Arabidopsis thaliana: one gene and its partners. The protein of the gene in region 3 interacts with the protein of the main gene of each other region in a pairwise test. Each region holds a gene or a part of one and is shown on either strand. Other genes may lie near its edges. The genes, in order: AT4G12980, AT3G55050, AT3G13670 and ABCG20.

Region 1 (4,713 bases), on a different chromosome or scaffold from region 3:
TTTATGTCCAATGATCATCTGTAACTAGAGTATGCTCTTTTCTTACATCAATTGGCTTGATATATTGTGTCATTGATTGAATATGTTTCTTCGGTTTGGTTAGCGTGAAAAAGAGTCATTGTTCCAAATCATGTAGTAGTTTTATGACTAATTCCTGAAAAGAATTTACAGCTCCACTTTGGATGCCAACAACATGCTTCTCCTCCTGCTTGTTAGCTTGATTCACATCATATACGATTATCACCTTCTTCGTGCATTTCTTACCGGAGGGACCCCACTTTCAACAGAGGTTACATTTTTGTAGTAAGACACGTCCGGGTAGCTAACCAATACATAGTCAGTGATTTTTTCACCATTATTGTTTAGGAAGCAAATCTTTTCTATATGAGGATTTAGAGTTAGACGACTGAATTCCAAGAAAACTCTTAGCCACAACTAACCATTCAAACATATATGTGTTTGGATGTACCTTCATAAATAATTTGGAATGACTTTATATAAATTTCAGTTTCAATAACATAGAATTTGGAAAGGAATTTTAAAATCACTAATTGAATAACTGATGATGTTAACAGAAAACCAACACTTTCATAAAACCTTGATTTAATACACCCCGAAAACTGCTCAATTTGTTTGACCGTGGCCCCAAATTTCGGTGTATAATATATGAGTCAAATCCCGGATAGACAATGTAAACAACCTTTTAGGAAAGAAAAGTGGAAACAACGTTGAAAAAGTTTGGAAAGAGATTTCCACTAGAATTTGAATTTCATATAGAAAAGAATAAACGTAAAAAAGGCAACGTAATTATAGTTGATTCGGTAGTAGCTGGACACATTAAAGTTTTAAACGCTATCATCATTCAGAATGCCCAAAATAAGAATCTTACAAGTGTTTTACATCTTACACCACACGGACATATTTTAATTTTACTGTTTGTTGGTCACTTCGTAGTTCGTACTTGGGTAATTACAAATTTACGACAAAAAAAGATTGAAAAATTAGTTTATAATTCCCTACAAGTATTCTGAACCACAAAAACACACGAAATAAAAGGCAGAGCTACAAAGAACAAACACTAAGACATATATGTGTTTCTCCTACTATACATAAAACACACAAGTCATAATCATCATCCTCAAAACAAGCAACGTCAAGAGATGAATCATAATTTGTGGAGAAAGACAATGCAATTTCTAACTTCAAAAAAAAAAGAAAATAAAACAATACAAATCCTTTGAATTACCAACACCATTAGGCCTTGAGAGGCTTTGTAGACTTGGCAGATTTTCTCTTGAGGACAATGACCCAAGTAACAACTTCCAAGAGTAACGTGATGCCTCCTAAGGTCCCAATCACAGCGATATAAGCCGTCTTGTAAGTATGCTTTGGATTCAAGATGCTAAGACCTTTGAAAACATTGATGATTCCAAGGATGAGGATAGAGTATCCAACTCCGTGGTGGTAAATATTCCAAACGAATCTAAACTTGTGGTCCTTCCTTGGCCGCAACAGCATCGCAAACATCTTTAAACACGCGCAAAAAGACACAAAGCATCGTTTCAATAACAGAACAAAACATATCTTTTTAAATGGCCAACTTGCAATATCCACTAATATAACAAATAACACTCTTTGGTCCTAATGAGTATTAGCAACGGTTTAATTTACCTGAAGAGTGGCTATAGAGAAGAGACAGATGCCGATGTTCCGGTGAGTGTTGTACTGAATACCTTTAGATTCTGAACCAAGCTTGAGTCCGGTGGCCCATCCGGCAACACCGATGACATAAGCAGAGAATTGGCATGACACGTGGAGGTAAAACCAAGCAGGATCTGCTGATTCAAAGATTCTCATATACCTAGCTATCATTGCTCCAATGGGAAATAGAAGTCCCCAACTCACTGCGTTCAATATTCCATGGATCTGCCAATTTACACATTCAAATGGTTGATTCTTCATGACTTTCATAAACAATAACAAATATAAAAATCATACTTACATTTCTCTTGTGGATTCTAGAATTACCGGCACCACCACCTCCGGAGACAGGGACTCCGGGGGTGGTCCCGGTTAAATCGAGTGATCCCACTGAGTTAAGATTGGGACCGCTGAAATCATGAGCCTGTATCCTCCCATTAGACACTCCCGGACCAACCTGCCAAACCTGGTTAACCTTCCCACTCGCCGCTAAATCCGCCGGAACCTTCACTTTCGCAAAGATTCGTAAAGCTCCACCGTCATTAGCCGCCTCCTCCGCCTTAACATCCCACACGTCAAAGGACAGTTTCGAGGGAACCAGAGAGCTGTAAGAGACGATGTTAAGGGTCGTCACGGAAGCAACGCCGGTGCTAGGGTCCTTAGAGGCAACGAGGGCTTGAGATCCAGCCATGCCGGTGGATTTAGGGTTAATAGCCCAAGCGATCCAACCACCAGGTTTTGACGGTGGAGCAGAGAAAACAACGGCGAGAGTTGTGTTAGATGCGTCATAAGAGTAATGGAGAATGGCTTTAAGATCAGGGAGGTCGAGACAGTGAGGGTAAGATTTGACGCCGGAAAATGTCTGTGACGAACAAGAAGATGACTGTGACACAGCCGGTGAGAGTAGTAAAGCCCAGAAGAGAAAAGAAAGAGAGATTCTAAGGTAAGAAGAATCCATGATGAATGATGATGATGCAAAGAATTGTAGTAACCGTTAAGTAATGGTCGGAAATAAATAGGTGAAACTGTGTGATAATTATAGCCTGTATCTAATTCTACGATACACACAGCTAATAAAAGATTTTTATTTATTTGTTTCATTTTTATTGTTCAATGTGTTGTTTTTTCTTTTCTTTCTTTTAATTCAGAAAAACACATCATAACGAACTTCTTTTGATTGTCTGATTCTGGAAGGTCATGGAACAGAACATATCAGATTAAGTAGTTGACAGTTATGTTTGACCTAAGACCAAGGATCTCAGAGTATTTCTGGCCTTGAAAATCATAAAGATATTTATATATTCTTTTTATTACAATAAAATCTAAATTCACAACATTCTTAAAGTAACACATTTTTCAAGTAATTTAGAAAAGAAGATAATGCATAAATTTAATTTTGGTTATTTTTTTCATTCTTATCTTCATAGTGTAGATGCATGTTTTTAGATAGGGTTAAATCATTTATTTGCAAAATTATCCAAAATGTGAGTATATAGAGTTTTGTCGTATTGACTAGAATAAGAATTTATCGCCCAAGACTAAATACTTATTAGAAACTAACATTATCAACGGTTGCTAAGTTTTTTCAGTTCACATCAGAATTTATCTCCCTTAATTCAACATCTAGTCATGCACCTATCCCTAAAAATTATCCTCTTCTATCTCCTTTGATGTTTCACCGAACCGCTATATATATTAATATAAGCAAAAAGGGGAAGGCCCAAAAGGTTTTGTCGAAAGCTTTAAACATATCTCTTTAAATTAGAATATCCAAGTAAGGACTGCAGGAGCTCTAGAATCTCTAAGATAGTTAGTTTGTCTTTCAATTCTCTAAACCTCAGCCCTCAGGTATTAATACTTTTTAAGGTAGTGTGCTCTAGAGTAAATTGGTTTATATTCAAAAAAAAAAAAAGGTTTATATACACATATGAGTAAAACTAAACCTTAAATAGATAAATTTAATTCAATTTTGGATTGATTTTTATAATAATGTTCAAAATATATTGGTGTATACAATTATGTTTTGGTTTCATTGAGAATAAGCATCTAAACTTTTTTACGTTATTTATGTATTTACAACCTAATTATTAAGACGTATGAAGTTTAGTGCGTTTTAACTTGAAAAATGTTCAAAACAAATATTATTTACAAAATATATCGATTAATTATTTGTTATGTAATTTTTGAGAATAAGCATCTGATCATTTTCAACTTAAAACGCACCAAACATAAATTCATAAACAAATCACATAACAAATAATTAATAGTTATATTTTCTAGATAGAATTTGTTTTGATTGATTAAAAACTAACCTGCCATCTGACGTCGATGTTATTCATATGAACCAGATACCACTGTCTGATGATCATTGTCTTAGGCGCCTACTACGTCTACAGTTCTGTGGTCAGATAGCTCCGTGGGTTGGCTTTTTATTGGCTCACATATCTGGATTGATTGTATCTTCGTGGAGATATATTAGTTGCACTGTTCCATGTCTGTTCACTAATATCAGACAGTTTCTTCGATTCATGTGGGCTGAAGTATCAGCATTCTGGAAAACCCACTCGAATTTTATTGTGTTTGCAGTTCTTTTGTTGTTGACAGCCACATGCATTGAAGCATCATTACTTTACTTTTTAATCTAAGTTTCATACCAGCCAAGTTTGGCCTAAACTGAATTCGTCGAGTCCTTCTGCTTTGGGTGGCCACACGTTTATTATGGCTTTTCTTCCATAATTTTGTGTTGTGCTGCTCAGATATCCGATATCATACTATATTCCCAAAACAACATACAAAAGTTATTGTTAATATCTGAAATAACAATTAGTGTGTTCAAAACATCATTTTTAACAAGATTTCACTAAATCTATTCCATGCTTATGTTTTGCTTAGCTTTTGCATTTTGCTTATTTTTTTTGGATTATTCAAGAAAGTTAAATGTCTATATATGCAATTTAAAAATCGACTCTCATCAAAGTTAAAAGTAGAGAAATGTTCCAAAAAAATGTAAAA
Region 2 (5,009 bases), about 16 Mb from region 3:
ATCCACGCACGCTGAGCAAATGGGCAAGTGTAAGATATGTACAACCTTAAAATCACACAAACCAAAAGTTGTTCATCAACAACTTCTCTAATATCTATCCAGACATGAAACAAATAAAAAAAGCATTTTTAGAAAACCGAAACCTTGTTGATCCATCGAATACTTGAACTGGTTCTGAAGAAGAATCAAGCTCCGGTACTCGACTGCAAAATAGTAACCTTTCAATACACAACTAAACTTGTAATCACTCTTCATAGAAGGAAAAACATATTTGATTGATTACCTTGACTCTACAACAGCCAATATTGGTTCGGTTCTTCGGGATTTACACCACCGTCTCCCGGAGCCTGGTCGGAGAATTTTCCGATCAAGATAGAGAGAAGATGATGAGGAAGAGAGAGAGACATCTCTCGAGGATAACGCAAGCGTTGGATGTAAGAACGCGCTAACTTTCAGTCCCACACTCATACCTCACAGCTTTCACTTTCTCAGCTCCTGAAAGGATTTTCCGGGAAAATGGTTTCCACTGAACCTTTTTGTTTGACTGCCACAACTTCCGGTTTGGTTCAATTCGGATAGAATAAGATTCTATTTCGGTTTAAATTCGGTATAAGAGTAAAATTCGGTTCAAATTCAGATTGATGAATGTTGGTTCGATTCTGTTTCACTATTTCGTAAACAGAAAGTACAATTGAGATTTGAGGAAAAAAGAGAGGAAATTTACACTTTTCGATCAGAAAATAATTAAAGAAGTAAGATTTTCACACAATTTTGTAACAAAAGAAGCAAACAAAATCAAATTCTGGTTCAAATAAGGAGAAAAAAAATGATCTATAAAACGGGATTATGGGCTGAGAGGAGACCACCTCCTTTGACAGAGATCGGAGTTCGAGTAGCGAAGTTTGTAGCGTGGAGGAAGACAACAATAACGGTAATATCGTCGTGAAAGTGTCGCCGAATGCCACGTTCTATCTTCTCCAAATCAGAATACCTCATCTCTCTCTTCTTTGCTGCTTCTTGTAATGCAGCTTTCACTAACTTCCGAGCCACACCCTGAAAGAATCAACAAGACACCACAAATTCAACAAACAACAAAACCAATTCAAACCAGACAAAAAAACAAGACAAGAAGAGTGTTGTGATATGTCTTACATTGCGTGGACAAGAATTGACAATATCAACAGCTTCCTGGTTGCTTAGATGCTCCCATAAACCATCCGAGGCAAATATAAGAAACTGATCTTCCGGATGAATCTTATGAACTGTTATAGTCGGTTCCGCTCTCATGATCGGCTTTTCAAAACGTTCTGGAACCCTAAACTTAGGTAGTAGCGGTTCTTGATTAAACTCCGCTCTTTTAAGGTATGCGTCACCAATGGATCTTGAGACCTGTATAATCCCTTTAACACGCCAAACTTTGTGTTTCAAGACCACGATATTCGGATCATCAGGATGCAACAAACGTAACTCCTCTCTCACAGATTCGATACTTGCATTATGCTCTGTTGATAACTGAACAGCTTTCAACTCTTTAAACGGATTTGCGACTTTCCCTAACACAACCCGAGAATCTCCTGCGTTTGCAACATACAACAATCCATTACAAACAATACCAACCAAACAACAAGCTCCCACAGAAGCAATCTGTGGCTTGGTCTTCCATTGCTCCTGCACTAAACCGAGAAACTCCTCCTCTGTTGCTACAAACCCTCTGGTGATAACATCAGGCGACATCCCTCGCTGTTCTGATGTGTACCTCTTGATGTTATAAAAGAGCCTATCGTTTACAAACCGAGCAGCCTCGGGACCTCCATGACCATCATAAACACCAACAAAAGTTGCCTCAGGTCCAGACTCATGCAAACTAATAGGACCAGATTCTAACTGGCTATGATCTTCAAGAAGGTTGTTAGCTTGAACGACTGCCATAGAAAACTCTCCAGTGATGTGGTTCCCAGAATCTTTGTACCACAAGAGACCATCGAGACGGCCATTCGTATCATCACTACCAGGACTAGAATCTTCTCCAATACCAAAAGGTCTCCAACAAGGCGATACAATTCTCCTAAATGTTGTAGATACCATAATTCACATGTCTCAACCAAAAGAACCAGCTATCAAATCGTTCATCAAATCAGTGCTTATAACTATATTATGAAGAAACCCAATCTTCTTGTCAGACTCAATTCCAACTCCACAAACCCAGGATTCAGAATTCAAACACGCATTCACAAATGTAAACAACATTAATCTGCATTCCACACAAACAAAAACAAAACATTTAGTAATCTAGAATCGAAAAAAGGATAAAGTCTCCAAATTTTCAACATAGGAAACTAAATTTTTTAACTTTTAACCCATCAATCTGATAACAAGCATCTGGGAGAAACAAATTTTGATTAAGAAGAAAACTTTACATAACTCCATCCACATATGAATCTAAAGGTTTCAACTTTGACCCATCAACCTGATTGGGTAATTGATTTGAAATACCTGATGAAATCGAGGATTAGATGAAAGAAATAGGGTTCCTTATTTCAAAAGCTTGGAGTAGAATAATAATCCATCATTCGATTTCAGATCAATGAGGGGGAAAGATTAGCAAGATGATTACTAATACAAATCAAAACCTATAAAAAGCGAAAGAGACGATGAAAGAGGGTTAAAATAGAGAAGAAGACGCGTTTGAAGAAGAGACGGAGACGTTGGATTTGTTTTTTTTAGAGAGAGAAAGTACCGATAGTCGCGGTCATCGTGTTTATGGTGTTTTTTTTTTTCTGGTAAATTTATAGTATTTTATTTTCTCTACCTGTCGTCTCTCCATTTCTTTTTGACTTTAACGGTTTGACTTTTTTTTTGCAACATTTAATACCTCTACTATTTTTATGAAATATTCTCTAAAATATGGTACCAATTTGTTACTACAAGTGTAGGAAAAAAAATAATATAAGACTAGCTTTGTCAAACTTATTGAGAAAAAGAATGACTAACTATAGTGAAAAGTGATCATATATTTAGTGAAAAAAGTAAAAATACCAAGTCTATATATATATATATATATATATTTATGTAAGATAGTATATATATAAAATTATTGCTAGTCTCTTTTTGAACTAATGGCTTATGAAGATTTATTGAATAGAATTGAGTCAAATGACAAACTTTCTTTACCATAAACTTCACCACTAAGTTTATAAGCCCATTTTTAAGTACAAATCTGAAACTAGAGAGAATCCAGCTTTGAGATAAGCAATCCAAAAGAAGAAAAGTAAAAATAAAAGAAGAAACAATCATATCTATAAGCCCCAAAGAATGACCCATCGTCTAAGAAACAATGATAAAGAAAAACCCTTATACCAAGAAATCAGGACTTGAGAGGAGATTCAGATGCTTGCTTCCGATTGTGTCTTGTAGTATTGTGATCTCTCCTTCTTTCTCTAATACCTTCTCCTCCAATTTCTCTACCATTCCTTTCAATGTCTCGTTCTCTGAGTTCAAAAGCATGTTTTTCTCACCGTATTGTTTATACTCACTCCATATCTGGCCTCTTTCATTAGACACTTTTGACAATAGTGCGTTCAGCCTCGCCATTTCTTTCGCCGCTTCCTGGAGATTGCTTTCGAGCCGTCTTATGCTTTCCTCCTTCTTCAACATCTGATGTCAAAAAAGATTAGCGTAAAGTTAACATTTTATAAATGGGAATAGTTTCTTTATATACAAAAACAGACATGGGATATGTGTTATTCTTGTTTTGCAATACCTGATGCTTGAGGTCTTTCAGTTCGTGGGTTGTAACTGATAGGTTGTCTAAACTGCTTTGGACCTCACATCTCAGAATCTCATTACCTCGTACTGCTGCTGCTAGTTCTGCTTGGAGCTGTTCGATTTCCTTTTCCTTGGAATACAGTTTCTCCCGCACTAAACTTGTGATTAGGGTCTCAGCACTCAGTTCTGCTCGCAAGTTTTCCTACATGAGATTGGGCCAGGTATACATTAGCCACATATTAGTGTAAAGCAAAACAGGACATACAAGAAAATACAATAGAGATATTAAGAAATGGACATATCCGTGGACTTACTTCAACTGATTGGTTTCTTTGTTCCCTAGGCCTACCAGTATTTGAGGAAGACGATTCTGAATTCGAAGCTACCACACTGGTCACCGTTTGCAAACTCCTCTTCAGGTTTTCAGTTCCGCGCCTTATCCCATGGACTTTCATTTCAGACTCAATCATAAACTGCTCACTTAATCCGTCCTTCACTGAATTCTTATCCTGATAGGTTTCAGGAAGCTGAGTTAATTTCCCTTTGATGAACTTCAGTAACTTGTAACACAGCTGGCTGCTCTCATTTAACATTGACAGTCCCTGTTCTTGCAAGTAGCAGACACGCATCTTCAACTCATTCTCTAGCTTAAGGGTTGTAATGTCTATTTCTTGACCATTCCCTTTCAATCGATTCAGTAGACAGATATTTTCATGGCGAAGAGAGTCAGTTTCAAGCTTCATTGATTCTACTTCCCTTCTAAGTGAAAGCTCGATCCCTGTCAACCTTACCTGCTCGACCTGCAATTTCTTGACCAACTGGTCTAATTTCTCTGACGGTTGCTTCTTAACCTCCTCAGAAACACCATCTCGAAGTCCCTCAATTGTCTTCCCTTGTTCTTTGCAAGTTCTGAAAAACTTTGTAACAGATTTGTGCAACTCCCTGCATTCTTGATCCTTCTCTTCAAAGTTTCTTCTCAAGAAATCAAGATCTTCTGTAGCACCTGCGTAACTCTCTTGTAACTTGGAGAGAGTTTGTTTAACATAATTGTTCTCTTCATGCAATTTATCTGCTGTTGTGGTCAGCTCAGCAACTCTTCTCTCCAAATGTGTTATCATGTCTTTGTTCTCTGTCTCATTTTCGTGGAAAGCAGATAGTTCTCTCTGGAGTGAGACATTATGCTCAGCAAGCTCTCTTACACGCTCTCGGAGCTTCTTCTCTTCAAGCTGGAATTTTTCGAGTTT
Region 3 (7,028 bases):
AATTCCTGCGAAATGGAACCTCGAATCAATGACCTTCAGGTGGAATCTCGGGTTCATGAGTTGCTCGATTTTCCGGTTCATACAAACCAGATATCCTCTGCAATCTACGAGGTATGTATATCATATCATATTGATACTACTACAATAAGAACACAACAAGTAATATACAGATCCTATTGCAGTGTCCCAACGACCACATCGAAAACCCTAAGAAGAAACCGTACAATTGTCCACACTCAGGAGCCAAGTGTGATGTCACAGGAGATATTCAAAGGCTACTACTGCATCTAAGGAATGATCACAATGTTGAAATGAGTGATGGGCGTAGTTTCAGTCACAGATATGTTCATCATGATCCTAAACATCTTCATCATGCTACTTGGATGTTAACAGTAAGTTATATAACTGATTATCTTGCTCTGTTTCTGCAACTTTGTGAATTTTTAAGTTTTAACCCACTTGAAACGATGCAGCTTCTCGATTGTTGTGGTCGAAAATTCTGCTTGTACTTCGAAGCGTTTCACCTGAGGAAAACACCAATGTACATGGCCTTCATGCAGTTTATGGGAGATGAAGAAGAGGCAATGAGCTTCAGCTATAGTTTGCAGGTCGGAGGGAATGGCAGAAAGCTGACATGGCAAGGCGTGCCGAGGAGCATTCGTGACAGTCACAAGACGGTTCGTGATAGTCAAGATGGCTTAATCATCACTCGCAAATTGGCTTTGTTCTTCTCTACCGACAACAACACCACCGACAAGGAGCTGAAGTTGAAGGTTTCAGGTCGTGTATGGAGAGAACAGCCTGTTTCGATATGAATTCGATAATTAGGTTACAGAATTGGACAACTATAGAATATTTGGTGACAAAAATATCTTTTCTTGATTTAAAAATTAAATATAGCAATTTCGAGGGAAATGTGTAGGTAAACTGGTGATTATGGCTCAATCCCCTTCACAAGGGGGGAATAAACAACACAATCACCACATTTTTGCTTCACAATTCAACTGAAAAAAAAGAAGAAGCACAACAGAGCCTGAGAGGCCATAGGGTTGGATAAGGAATAGGAGCCGAGACTTAGAAACATATTTCTCTCGTCCTTCAACAGTTTTTACTAATAAGTCTCAAGATACAGTTCGGCCATAGCTTAACGATGCAAGGTAGAGATTCTTTCCCCATTTTTCCTGCACAACAGAAAATTGCATCTCCGGTATTGTTCATGGGAAGGGAGAAAAAGAGTTCAAGATATTGATTAGTAATCTTTTATAGCTGCTCTACTCACCTTGACGTGTGTGCTGGGGAATTGAGAGGTACGTAACGTCTCTTGTGTCTCATCAACAAGTCTACGACGTGGGATGCTTAGGATGAGAGCAGCTTGATCGGTTGTGGCTGCTGTTGATGTGATTCTGAATCCACCATCCCAACGCCTGTGGATGCCTTCACTTGGATACAGAAAATCAAGTTCCACAACCTGTAGAGGAGATATAAGCGAAAACAGGAGAATTAGAAATCAACGCGACAGATCCAAAACTGAAGGAAACGGAAGAAATTCATCTATATCGGTGAAGTCTAACCTGTTCACTGTAGCCAGAATTGCGGGACATAACAACACCCCATCGATTTCCAGCTGTTGCCATTGAGGTTACATGGAAGCCTTCTCTCCATTTCTTGTTTATCCACTTGAACGGGAATGAATCGCTTACTTTGTAAGACTGCTGTGTATACTGCGTACCTTCATAATTCATTTGAAAACCAAACATAGAATAAGCCACAAATTCAGAGACTAGTAAAATACCATAATGACGAAAGTGTTCAAAAGTATTCATGAAAAGTGTAGATACCTTTTGACATGACAACTAAGGAGCTTCCATTGCTTGCACCAGCAATAGAACTAATGTAGTAGTTCTTCTCCCACTGCTCCATAATCCATTCCTGATTCAAAACAGAATTCACTCTCAGGTAAGATCATCTTGACAGAACACAGATATAAAAATAACTAACAGAGAAACATCAGACAACCTTGTGCAAGAATACAGGAGAGAGTTCATAGACTTGGTGCGTGAAGCCAGTTCCAGCATCCATTATCAATGCCCAGAGATTCGAACATGATGATACACAGCTTATCAACAAACCATCTGCAATACCTCTCTCAATATGCTGTGCCAGTCTTATATCAGCCACATTATAATGATACCTGGTTAAACACATAAATTGTGAGTCCAAAAATAGTTTTAGACACATTAAGGCCAAAAATCCAAGATTATAATATAACCAAGAGAAAAAATGAGACACAAACGCAGTCCCAGCAGTTAACTGACTGTATAAATAATTAACCATGAATTTTTTTACCTCTGCTTCATTGGTTGCCTGGCATTGTAAATCGATATCCATTGCGTTGCAGGGACTCCTAGACGGACCTTTTTCCTAGGGGCATCTTCTTCTTCCTCCCCAATGCTCAACCTACCTCGCTTCTGGCCAACTTGGAATATGATCTAGCACAAAAGAAAACAATTACAAGATGTTAAACAACAACTCCTAGATATCCAAATAGGAACGAAAGGGAAAGATATACAGCATGAAAATGTCACCTTTTGAGCACCCTCTGTGTTTATAGGCCTAATTGCCGGATTTTCGCCCAAGAGGTCTTGAAACAGAGATACTAACTTTCCATAGTTGGGTTCTTCATCAAATTTCATATTTACCACGATCTCAAGAAATTGTTTGAAAGGAGGGGGACAAAAACAACAAAGCATATCCGGCGATGTTGCCATCTTCTTTTTGCAAACAAGGAATGACTTGTTATCTCCCTGAAAATTGAGTAAGAGACAGGATTAGCAGAGAAAGAATCATGCAACAACATGATTCTACAAAACAAAATGATAGGTCTGCAGTACCTGATATCCTTGCCATGGCAATCTACCTCGGTGAAGAAAGATCAGTGTATATGCTAATGATTCCAGATCATCCCTTCTGCTAGCAGTTCTCCCTAAATGAGCATGTGCACTTGCGTATCTAACTGTCCCTCTATAAAAATTAAGAAGAGAGAGATTCAACAAAAGGTAAGAGCGAGTATAAAACAAATTATATTAGGTAACAGTAGAAAATATATTACCTAAACATATCAGGACGTTGATCATATTCAACATGTTGTCCGCTACCACCTTCTCTCCACTTTGTAGCTGAAAAGTTGGTTGAAAAATGAGAAAGGTAAAGAAGAACCTAGCAAGAATAACAAAGAGAATGAAATCAACCTAGTCCCAAATCAACAAGAAACAGTTTTTTCTCTTGAGACGTTGAAGGCTGGCCGAGTAAGAAATTTTCTGGCTTAACATCCCCATGCACATAACTGAAACCGAAGTAAAACATGACCTGTTAGGCTAGTTAATAGAGAGAAAACATAAGAACTTAGAGGTGCCGAGACTCCAAACAGGATATCAGAAGAAACCTCGGACAACCTAATTAAATACAAAAACAAAAATAAAGTTCAATTACAAACCCTTTTGCATGCATCTTTTCAAGGATGGAAAGTGATTCAACCGCAATGCAAGCTACCATTTCCGAGGACATTCTGCAAAGCAAAAAGGGGGAGAAGAATTGTTAGGGAAGTCGATTTTTTAAAAGCAAAATGTTACTCAGTATGGACTTATGTATTTTTTTAAAAACAGGGAGTAACACCACATTTCAAGTCACAATTCCAAAAGAATCCAAATTAACTTAGGATACTCATGTATGGAAACAACGCTAATTGAAAAAGAGACAAGAGCTCCCCAAGGATGTGTAATGGAGACTCACGCTTGCCCTGAAGTATTCCATAAATCCCATAAGCTAGGCCCAAGCATGTCCATAACCTGAGGCCAAAACAAAGAAGAGAGGATCTAACTTCAATGATACAGACAGGAGAAAAAAACAGAAATAGGAGAAAGGGGGAATCCAGTACCATGACATAATAGTCTCCTTGCCTGCCTTTGAAATGTACTCTAGGGACTCCATGGCTACCACCCAAGGTGCTGTTCACAATAAAAGTAAAATGTCAATTTCACATTTCAAGTCAAGGAAGCACCTACAATCCAGGTAAATGAATTTAAGAAACATTGAAAGAAAGACAGGAGAATCGAAACACCCACTTGTAAACCTGCCACTCATGTGGAGGACCATAGTTGCAACCCTTGCTGCTCCTATGCTCAAACTTTAGAGCAACCTATATAAGAAAGTGAAGATGTGAGACACTGTAAGCATAACTAAGCTAATAGAATGATATTTATGGTGACAATCCTCCACAGCAGTAAACGCAGACTGAGTTATATTACCTCCAAGATGCTAGCTCCTGCACTACGATCATTACCGCCACTAATACGACGTCCGACAAATACTTGTCCAAAACCACCCTTCCCCAGCTTTCTCTCAACTTTATATAGTGGTGATCCTCCAACTTGAACCTGATACGGAATCGTTAGTCATTACCATAGAAAGATGATAAGCAAGCCTACAATGAAAAGTTCAATAACCCCAAACAACACAAAAACTATGCAAATCAATTATACCCTCTCAGGGAAAGGAGCAGTATTTCCTTCTTCTTCCTGAGCAGCCGCCTTGTTAGAGCCACCACTATCATTACCAATAGCCATATCTTTCTTCTCTTCTTCAACGACTACCTCTTTACCCTTGTTTTTATCGATATCGCTATCCTTAGACGGCACAACAACCGGAATCTCCTGAGGTATCTCTTTATCTTCCTCCTTTAATTTCCTCGCCGCTAATCTAGTCCTCGGCCTCTCTGCAACTCCTGTAACTCCGCCGGCAACCGGTTTTGGAGCTTTAACGGTACTCTTCTTCGGTTTCTTTTCTGTAGGTGTTTGCGGAAGCTGATTGGGAGCTACAGCATCAGTAACACGGCCACGGCGGACTCCACGGCGAAGCTCCGGCATAGCTCAAACCCCATGCAATCGAGACGGGACACGAAGAGTCCGATCATTATAGTCCTCCGAAAACGAGGGCCTGGGTCATGTCGGATTTGGTAAGCTATTTGATATATAATCGGAGATTCGATTTGCCGATGATGAAGATGGCGATTTAGGGTTACGACGGTTCAAGTTTGCGATGAGAAAAATAGAAGTTTATGGATGAAAGTTCCCAAAATGGAGAGAGAAAAGAAGACAGGCGATGTGAAAAAGGCGATATTTATGCCACGTCAGATATTCTGAAGAGGAAGAACCAAAAAAATTTGGAAAAATCAAATTAATTTTCCTTATGACAAAAATTATGTAATAATGATGTGAATGGACTTTTTTTGCGTCACACGGTCCGTGACTTGCGACTAATTTGGAAACAAACGTTTCACGTTTTTGTTAAGAAATAAAAAATTTGATTTCTTTTCTTACAATGGTTTTATATGTTTACTATTTTGAATGTCTTTTCTATTTCAAACAAAAAAGTAGCTAAATGTATTATTTAATTTCTCCGTGTAATATCAAAATTGGTTTTAGACAATAAATAGGTTTGATTTGGTGTTTTTTTTTTAAGGTTTGATTAGCTCGTGATTGGGCTAACTAATCATTATATTTATTTGAACATTTATTTTCTATCAAAATTTCAAATAATTTATTCGCTAATCAGTTGATGATTTTCCAAATTAACGCGGAGTAGAGCCTTTGTGCCACTTAATTTGACCAAAAAATGTATGTTTAATGTATATATAAACAACTACTTATTTATTTATTTTTTAGATGAATAAAATCAAACCATTACAAGATAAAATACATTATTTAACTTGGGAAAAGACAATAACACTCTCATAACAAAACGAGACATAAAAACAAATAAGTAATGAAATCAAATGAACAATATTCCAAACTTAATTATTTCAGTAATGCAGAATATAACAATTATATTCAACACTAGATTCACCGCGGAGACAATTCATTTTTTAAAATTAATATATGTAAAAATTTGTAAATTATTTTATAGTTTACAATTGTTACTAAGTAACATCCTGTCAAACTCGTCCCGCCAAACCCGTCCACAAAAAAAATTTATTTATTTTATTAATGTTGATCTTATTTATAATATATTTATGAATCATTGTCAAAATATTTTATTCGTTGCGGGACGTTGAATCCATACATTTTTCGCCAATTAGTTAATATATGTTCATTCTTAAAATTTTGAATCACAAAATATGACGATTTTTTTTTTGAGATTTTTTAAACTCTATATATTATATAATGATGTTAATTTTTTTGATATATTAAACTTTTTATAAATTTAAATATTAATAGTGTTTTATGAATTTTAAATATATAAATAATAATAATTAAAAAATTAATATTTTTTGCCTTTTAGGTAATGATATAATAATTCTAAAAGCAAGAATTTAGAAGATTTAAATCTTTAATTAAATATTTTCATGCCTGAATAATTAATGTCAGTAGCATGACATTGTAAATAAGTTCAAATACATGATTTGTTTATTTAAACAAAAAACGTTTAGTAAGAACAATATTTATTTAAACAAAAAACTTTGTTTTAAAATATTGTTAACAAAATACTTTTATGCTAATTTTAAAGGATTGATGTGCAGTTTGTTTGGATTAAATTTGATTGATAATGTGATTGACAATTTAAATTAAGAATTTAATGTAAAATTAATTATTTTGAAAAAAAAATTTAATGCTAATGGCATTGGGTTGTAAATAAGTTCAACTCTAAGATTTATTTGTTAAAATGGCTGCAAAAATGTATATGTAGATTGGCAACACCGGCCTTGAGATCAAACGACTTGGTGCGAGCCTCGACATAACCTCTAGCAAATCGAAAGATTCCACTACCTCCGACCACCGGCATTTCCCTAACCTTCGACATCACCACGTTCCGCCCAAGAATCGTTATCGTACTCCCATTGTACTTCCCCGTAGTGAAAGCAAAGTTCATCACCATCAAGAAGCCTATCTCTCCTTGGGCCGCTGCTACGTACATCCCTTGGGCTTGGCCCACCACAGTCGCATTCCTTGGCACATCGAATGTTAGTGGATCGT
Region 4 (5,589 bases), about 15 Mb from region 3:
TTCTAGATGATAAGCGACCAACATAGAGGCGAGTGTTTCCATAGCGATCATCATAGCGAGGCATTGTCAAGCTGCAAAATATTTTTAACATAAGCTATTAGGCACATATGTATATATATATATATATATGCCAATCACAAGAAAAAGAATAACAGTATCCTCTTCAAATTATATAAACAAGAAAAAGACCAGAGAGTTAAAACACTACCTCAGACCTAAACATAGAACCCATGTGAATATCTATGATTTTTCAGCAGAACACAAATCCAAAAACAAAGAAACCAAACTGAATAACACATTCAGAGGCGAAAAGAAGAAAATTTCGTGAGGGGAGAATATAAATCTCTAATCAGATTAGACAGAAGGAAACCTATAAAGGAAATCTACGGCGAGGAAACGAGAAACCAATTGAAATCCCTAATCTAGAGAGCGAAGAACAATAAAATCGTAACCCTAAACAGATCCAATTACAAAGATTCTTCCTCGTACCTGGAGAGACGAAGAAGGAGAGTGCAAATACGCAGTAACCCTAATAATTTCGAAACGAAGGAAGTGAACCGCGGATGATACTGCGATTAGTCTTCAACCCCTATCTTATAACTTGGAAACCGACGAGATTCAACGGTAGCGATTTGTTTCAATCAACGGTTTAGATTTCACGGCGAGATAAACGTCGATATTACCGATATAGAAAATAGAAAATTGCACACTTTCCAATTTAGTACTTTTATTGGGCCTTATATCAACTCTAAAGCCCATTAAAGATTTAGCAAACATATGCAATTTCGTATTAATCATAAGTATTAAGTACATCATAATCATTGGTCAAGTTACTCTAATAATTTTCTGTTTTGTAAATCAGCGACGCTTGTTCTTGCTTCCGATCAAGAGTGTGAAGTAGAAGAGAACCCTAAAGAAGAATCCCCAAGCTACAGTGATCCACAAGCAATTCCATTTGCTTATCTCCGTGATTCCTTGCTGTTTCAGTATATCGATTCCCGTCGTTACGCAAGTCTCCGCCGTCACGTTGATCCCCAAAACGCCGCTCATGCTCTTCAGGAGGCTGATTTTCACGGCGGTTGGAACTTGTCCCAGCGGCGAATTGTCGAACATCTGGATCCCTCTGACGAAGCATTTCGTCGGATCTTCGAATTCGTTCTGTAGAACACCTTCGTAAGGGTATTTCACTAGGGAGAGGTAATGGAACCAGATCCAGTAGAGTGGGATTCGATCTCTAGAGATGAAGAATCCGGAGAAGAGGAGGAAATAAGCGAGGATTGCTACAACCACCGTGAATCCGATCATCACGTGTGAGACTACGCCGGATAAGAACGTCACGAAGGAACTTCCGGCCCAAAACGCGGTGAGGATTGTGAAGAAGAAGAAGAGGAATCCCTCGGAGCCTCCGGCGAGTCCTACGGCCGAGAATGTTGAGGCGGCGAATGCGGCGGATAAGATTATGAGAGCAGGGATGGAGATTATTGTGTGAGCGAGGACGTATGATGATCGCCGGTAAGCGTTGTAAGCTGTTTCTCTCATGAATATGTAACGTTCCTGTAGAAAGACTGGTATTGCTTCTGCACATGTGTAGAATGTTGTGGACATTGCGAATGCGAAGAACCCTAAGCGTTCTTGTATACCTCTTGGTGAATTGTCTAGTTTCCAGAATATTGTGGCTAGGATCATTCCGGTGACTAGTACAGCTCCTAGGCGGATTCCGAATAGCTCTGGTTGTCTTCTTGAGTTTAGTATAGATCGTTTACCAATTACGAGCATTTCAGTCCAGAATGGGTTTGCAAAGGTTTGAAATGATGATCTTAGGTTTGTTGCTCCGGAGACAAGCTTACCTCTCGAGATACTTGCGCTGATTGCATCTTTGAGAGATACATTGGTGTTTCTTCTGCTCTGGCTTGAGGTTTGCTTTGCTCGCCATTGCTTGTGGAACTCGACTAAGGATTTCGTTCCTTCTGGCGAATCTTCCAGCTCACGGATAAGATCGAGTGCAAACTCCGGCTTGTTCTCGTTTTCAGGAATTGGGTGACCGAATTCTGAGAAGAACTGAGGGAGGTGTGTCGGGGAGCCGCTGTAAACGGTGTTTCCCCTAGATAGGAAGATTAACTTATCGAGTAATCCCAAGATTCTGTAACTCGGCTGATGGATGGACATGATAACTATGCTGCCGCTTTGTGCGATTCTCTGAAGCACTTTGACAACCATGTATGCACTGGTAGAGTCAAGACCAGAAGTTGGCTCATCGAGAAAGAGAATAATCGGGTCATGGATTATATCGGTTCCAATTGAGACCCTTCTCCTTTCTCCTCCAGACACACCTCTGTGTCCCTCATCACCGATCACGGTTTTTGCTGCGTTCCTCAGGCCGAGCTGATCAATCAGAGCTTGAACCCGTGCCTTCTTTTTCTTCTTAGAAAGCGAGCTTGGAAGCCTGAACTCAGCAGAAAACATCAACGTCTCTTCCACGGTGAGCATCGGGAAGAGAAGATCATCTTGCATCACATAAGCTGATATGACTTTATGCAGGCTAGATTCAAGAACTTCCCCATTTAAAGTAATATCACCGCGTAGGCTCTCTTTTGAAATCCGATTGGCTAATGCATCGATAAGCGTTGATTTCCCTGACCCGCTCGCTCCAAGAACAGCCATCATCTCTCCTTCCCGGGCTTCACCAGAAATACCATTCAGGAGCACCTTAGTATTCATCTCCATATCATTACCATCAAAAGGTGAATTCCCACAACAAGGAAAGGGCTTAAACTTCTTCTTGATCTTCACGCTGTAAGTCAAGTCTTTGAAGGAAAGAACAAACGGAGAAGAAGAAGGCACACGAGAAGACGGAACCGAGGACCAGAAATTGGACGCAACCGCAATATCCATAGCCCGACTCTGGTCATCCCCCTCATCTTCCACACTCATGAGAAGTTCTGCAAGTGTGACAGACACCCGCGCAGTGTCTCTGTGACATCTCTGAAGCTCCACTGACTTGTGGATATTGTAAAACAGAGGGAGGCCATCGCCATTGACCCGTTTGGCCGGAGATAATATACCGAACAAACCAGACATCACGTGAATTATTGTCTGGTTAATGTTTTGGCCTCAGGTAATGTGTCTAAAGGTCTTACCCACAGAACAATTTTGATCGACTTTATAGGATATTTGGATGGGAGAATGAGGGAGAAACTTGTCAATTAGTTTGGTGATCTCTAAGTATCTAACTTTGAGTTGTTCTGGGTTTTGTAGCTTTTCATATTTACATGTACATAGCTTTTGTTTATATTTTCGTATGTATATAAATTGTAAGTTACGAGTAGGTGAGGAGTTGGGCAAATCCATCCACATTTTTCCGTTATTGTATGTATTTTTTCTTGGGGCTTAAGGTACTCTGTAAAAAAATCCTATTTTAGGTGGTTTTTGTTTACAAAGTGGAAAAGTTTACTCCATGGAATTACGTGTTTATTTCATCTGTATATAATGTATCCGGAGTTTATGGAATTGCAATAAGTATAGCTTATGTAACATGTCAGGAATAGAATTTCTCCTTGCACATGTATGTATGTCACGAATTTCTTAATCTCCTTTTGTTTATTATAGTCACGACCCGCGAGTTTTCTATAATCACTTACAAGCTCTAAGACTTGTTTTTTGGTGCGTGAGACAATAATTGACTAGGGGTTAATTGGATTTCCAACTATTTTGAATCAGTGAATATCTTCGTACAGTAACTAAAGCACGCTACGAATATACTGTTTGTTGTATCAAAATCAAATCATCCAACATTTTGAACATTTATTTAGCGGTTACTAATTAACTTTTGCAATTAGTTAATATCAAACACATAAGATATTCTCATAATTAGGATTTGGCATGGTACTATACTAAGATTGTACAAAGGCATGCCATTATGCATAATGAAGCTAATGGCGTGTTATCTTTCAATTGTTTGTTTAATCATGCACACCATTTTCGTCATATAAAAAAGCGTAAGTGAAGCCTATTTCATTTCAAAAAAAAAAAAAAAAAATTATAAGGATCATTGATTTGTACTTTTGTAGTTGGTGAAACAAAAAGGAAATGAATGTGAAAATTATGGCAGAAAAACGTGCAGATGTTCGGCTTTGATGTTGTAGAGCTACACACGAAAACACAACAAAAATTGTCATTAGGAATATGTAATGGAAACTTTATATAACGTGATGAGTTAGATTTAGGCATATGGAAGTTTGGTGTAGCTGTTATATCTGTTTTCTTGATTATTTTACTTTTGATAACCCATTTTTACAAGAGTTGTCAAGAAATAATAGAAAACTATATACTTAGTATCATCAGCTTGTCTCTATCAAGTTGAACTAATGATTTATCCAATGAAATACATAACATTTCTTATGGAATGTACACTTTCACACAGAGAATGAGTTTATATTATTCTGGTTAAGTTTAGTAAGACTTTCTTTATGTAAAGATTGTTTTGAAATTTTGTGTTTGGTAGAGGATATTTTGCTAAGTTTCCCAACATAATTTTGTTAACACTTTGAGATTTATCAGGTAGGACTAGATCAAGGAATTGAATCCCTCAGGTTTGAGATTTCGTTCAATGCTAATATTTGTTAAATCGTACGAGAAATTTTTACTCTCGTCTGTTGAGTAACAGCATGAGAGAGTTTTCATTCAAAAAAAAAAAAAATAGCATAAGAGCATATCTCTAGGCATAACATTTTGTGGGCTATTAAGGGGCCAAACTTGGGCATCCAATTGTTAAAAGCCCATATTTTGTAAGCCTCGAGGAGTTTTTTTTGTTTGTTTCCACATTTGCCTAAAGTTTTGTATATGTTCATTGAATAATATACAAATCAAACGCAAATCACATTAATGATCCCCTCAAGAATATATATATAAAAAATTGCATATATTATTAAACAATTAGTGAAATTACTTAATTAGATTATCTGATAATCACATATAGATTTTAGAAGCGAAACATATATATTTGCTCTATAACTAAAACAAAATAAAAATAAAAAAGAGAGCGAAGGATTGCATCAAGTAATCGCCGTGTAACTAACTACTTTTGCATTCACCATCGCTCTTACGTTTGAATCTATCCAGATCCAAAGCTCTTCTTCTTCCCGGCAATTCTGAGATCTCATTTTCACCGGCGACGAGCTTTAATCGGAGAACGATGAAGCAGCTTCACAAGCAAATGAGCTCGAAGCGTGATGAAGAAACCATTCCCATGAGCCAATCCAGTCCTTACTCTCCCAAAACTTTAAAGCATCCCAGATCTCTTCCCAGATCGCTTCACTATCTCTTTCGTGAACAACGACTCCTCTTTATCCTCGTCGGGATCTTGATCGGATCCACTTTCTTCATCCTCCAGCCTTCTCTCTCTCGTTTAGGCGCCGCTGAGTCCACCTCGTTAATCACCAGATCTGTTTCCTACGCCGTCACCGATTCCCCGCCTTCCAGGTCGACTTTTAATTCCGGAGGCGGCGGAGGTAGAACCGGTCGTGTTCCCGTCGGTATCGGACGGAAGAGACTGAGGATTGTTGTCACCGGTGGAGCTGGTTTCGTCGGTAG

What was found.
Region 1: the proteins of AT3G13670 (region 3) and AT4G12980 interact in a protein complementation assay, tested with the Arabidopsis thaliana proteins (one large-scale study listed by BioGRID).
Region 2: the proteins of AT3G13670 (region 3) and AT3G55050 interact in a protein complementation assay, tested with the Arabidopsis thaliana proteins (one large-scale study listed by BioGRID).
Region 4: the proteins of AT3G13670 (region 3) and ABCG20 interact in a protein complementation assay, tested with the Arabidopsis thaliana proteins (one large-scale study listed by BioGRID).

The regions. Positions count from the first base shown.
Region 1 is NC_003075.7:7,588,416-7,593,128, forward strand, and holds AT4G12980 (Auxin-responsive family protein), read right to left. Parts: upstream 2,845-4,713; 5' UTR 2,660-2,844; coding exon 2,003-2,659; intron 1,927-2,002; coding exon 1,672-1,926; intron 1,528-1,671; coding exon 1,255-1,527; 3' UTR 832-1,254; downstream 1-831. UniProt on the Arabidopsis thaliana protein: May act as a catecholamine-responsive trans-membrane electron transporter.
Region 2 is NC_003074.8:20,399,838-20,404,846, forward strand, and holds AT3G55050 (Protein phosphatase 2C family protein), read right to left. Parts: upstream 2,759-5,009; 5' UTR 2,494-2,758; intron 2,252-2,493; 5' UTR 2,086-2,251; coding exon 1,153-2,085; intron 1,054-1,152; coding exon 832-1,053; 3' UTR 593-831; downstream 1-592. Other genes in the region: GSTL2 (glutathione transferase lambda 2), read right to left, coding at 1-45, 144-203, 284-468; AT3G55060 (CAP-gly domain linker), read right to left, coding at 3,352-3,654, 3,761-3,967, 4,080-5,009. UniProt on the Arabidopsis thaliana protein: May dephosphorylate and repress plasma membrane H(+)-ATPases (PM H(+)-ATPases, e.g. AHA1 and AHA2), thus influencing negatively plant growth and fitness.
Region 3 is NC_003074.8:4,467,328-4,474,355, reverse strand, and holds AT3G13670 (Protein kinase family protein), read right to left. Parts: upstream 5,204-7,028; 5' UTR 4,923-5,203; coding exon 4,539-4,922; intron 4,434-4,538; coding exon 4,305-4,433; intron 4,196-4,304; coding exon 4,122-4,195; intron 4,005-4,121; coding exon 3,935-4,004; intron 3,846-3,934; coding exon 3,790-3,845; intron 3,566-3,789; coding exon 3,494-3,565; intron 3,344-3,493; coding exon 3,249-3,343; intron 3,177-3,248; coding exon 3,110-3,176; intron 3,022-3,109; coding exon 2,892-3,021; intron 2,805-2,891; coding exon 2,586-2,804; intron 2,490-2,585; coding exon 2,347-2,489; intron 2,192-2,346; coding exon 2,017-2,191; intron 1,930-2,016; coding exon 1,839-1,929; intron 1,795-1,838; exon of another isoform or gene 1,730-1,794; coding exon 1,572-1,729; exon of another isoform or gene 1,469-1,571; coding exon 1,280-1,468; exon of another isoform or gene 1,182-1,279; coding exon 1,122-1,181; 3' UTR 816-1,121; downstream 1-815. Other genes in the region: AT3G13672 (TRAF-like superfamily protein), read left to right, coding at 13-111, 183-815; AT3G13662 (Disease resistance-responsive (dirigent-like protein) family protein), read right to left, coding at 5,886-5,891, 6,751-7,028.
Region 4 is NC_003074.8:19,836,444-19,842,032, forward strand, and holds ABCG20 (ABC-2 type transporter family protein), read right to left. Parts: upstream 3,541-5,589; 5' UTR 3,079-3,540; coding exon 859-3,078; 3' UTR 705-858; downstream 1-704. Other genes in the region: RS2Z32 (RNA-binding (RRM/RBD/RNP motifs) family protein with retrovirus zinc finger-like domain-containing protein), read right to left, coding at 1-64; UXS1 (UDP-glucuronic acid decarboxylase 1), read left to right, coding at 5,192-5,589.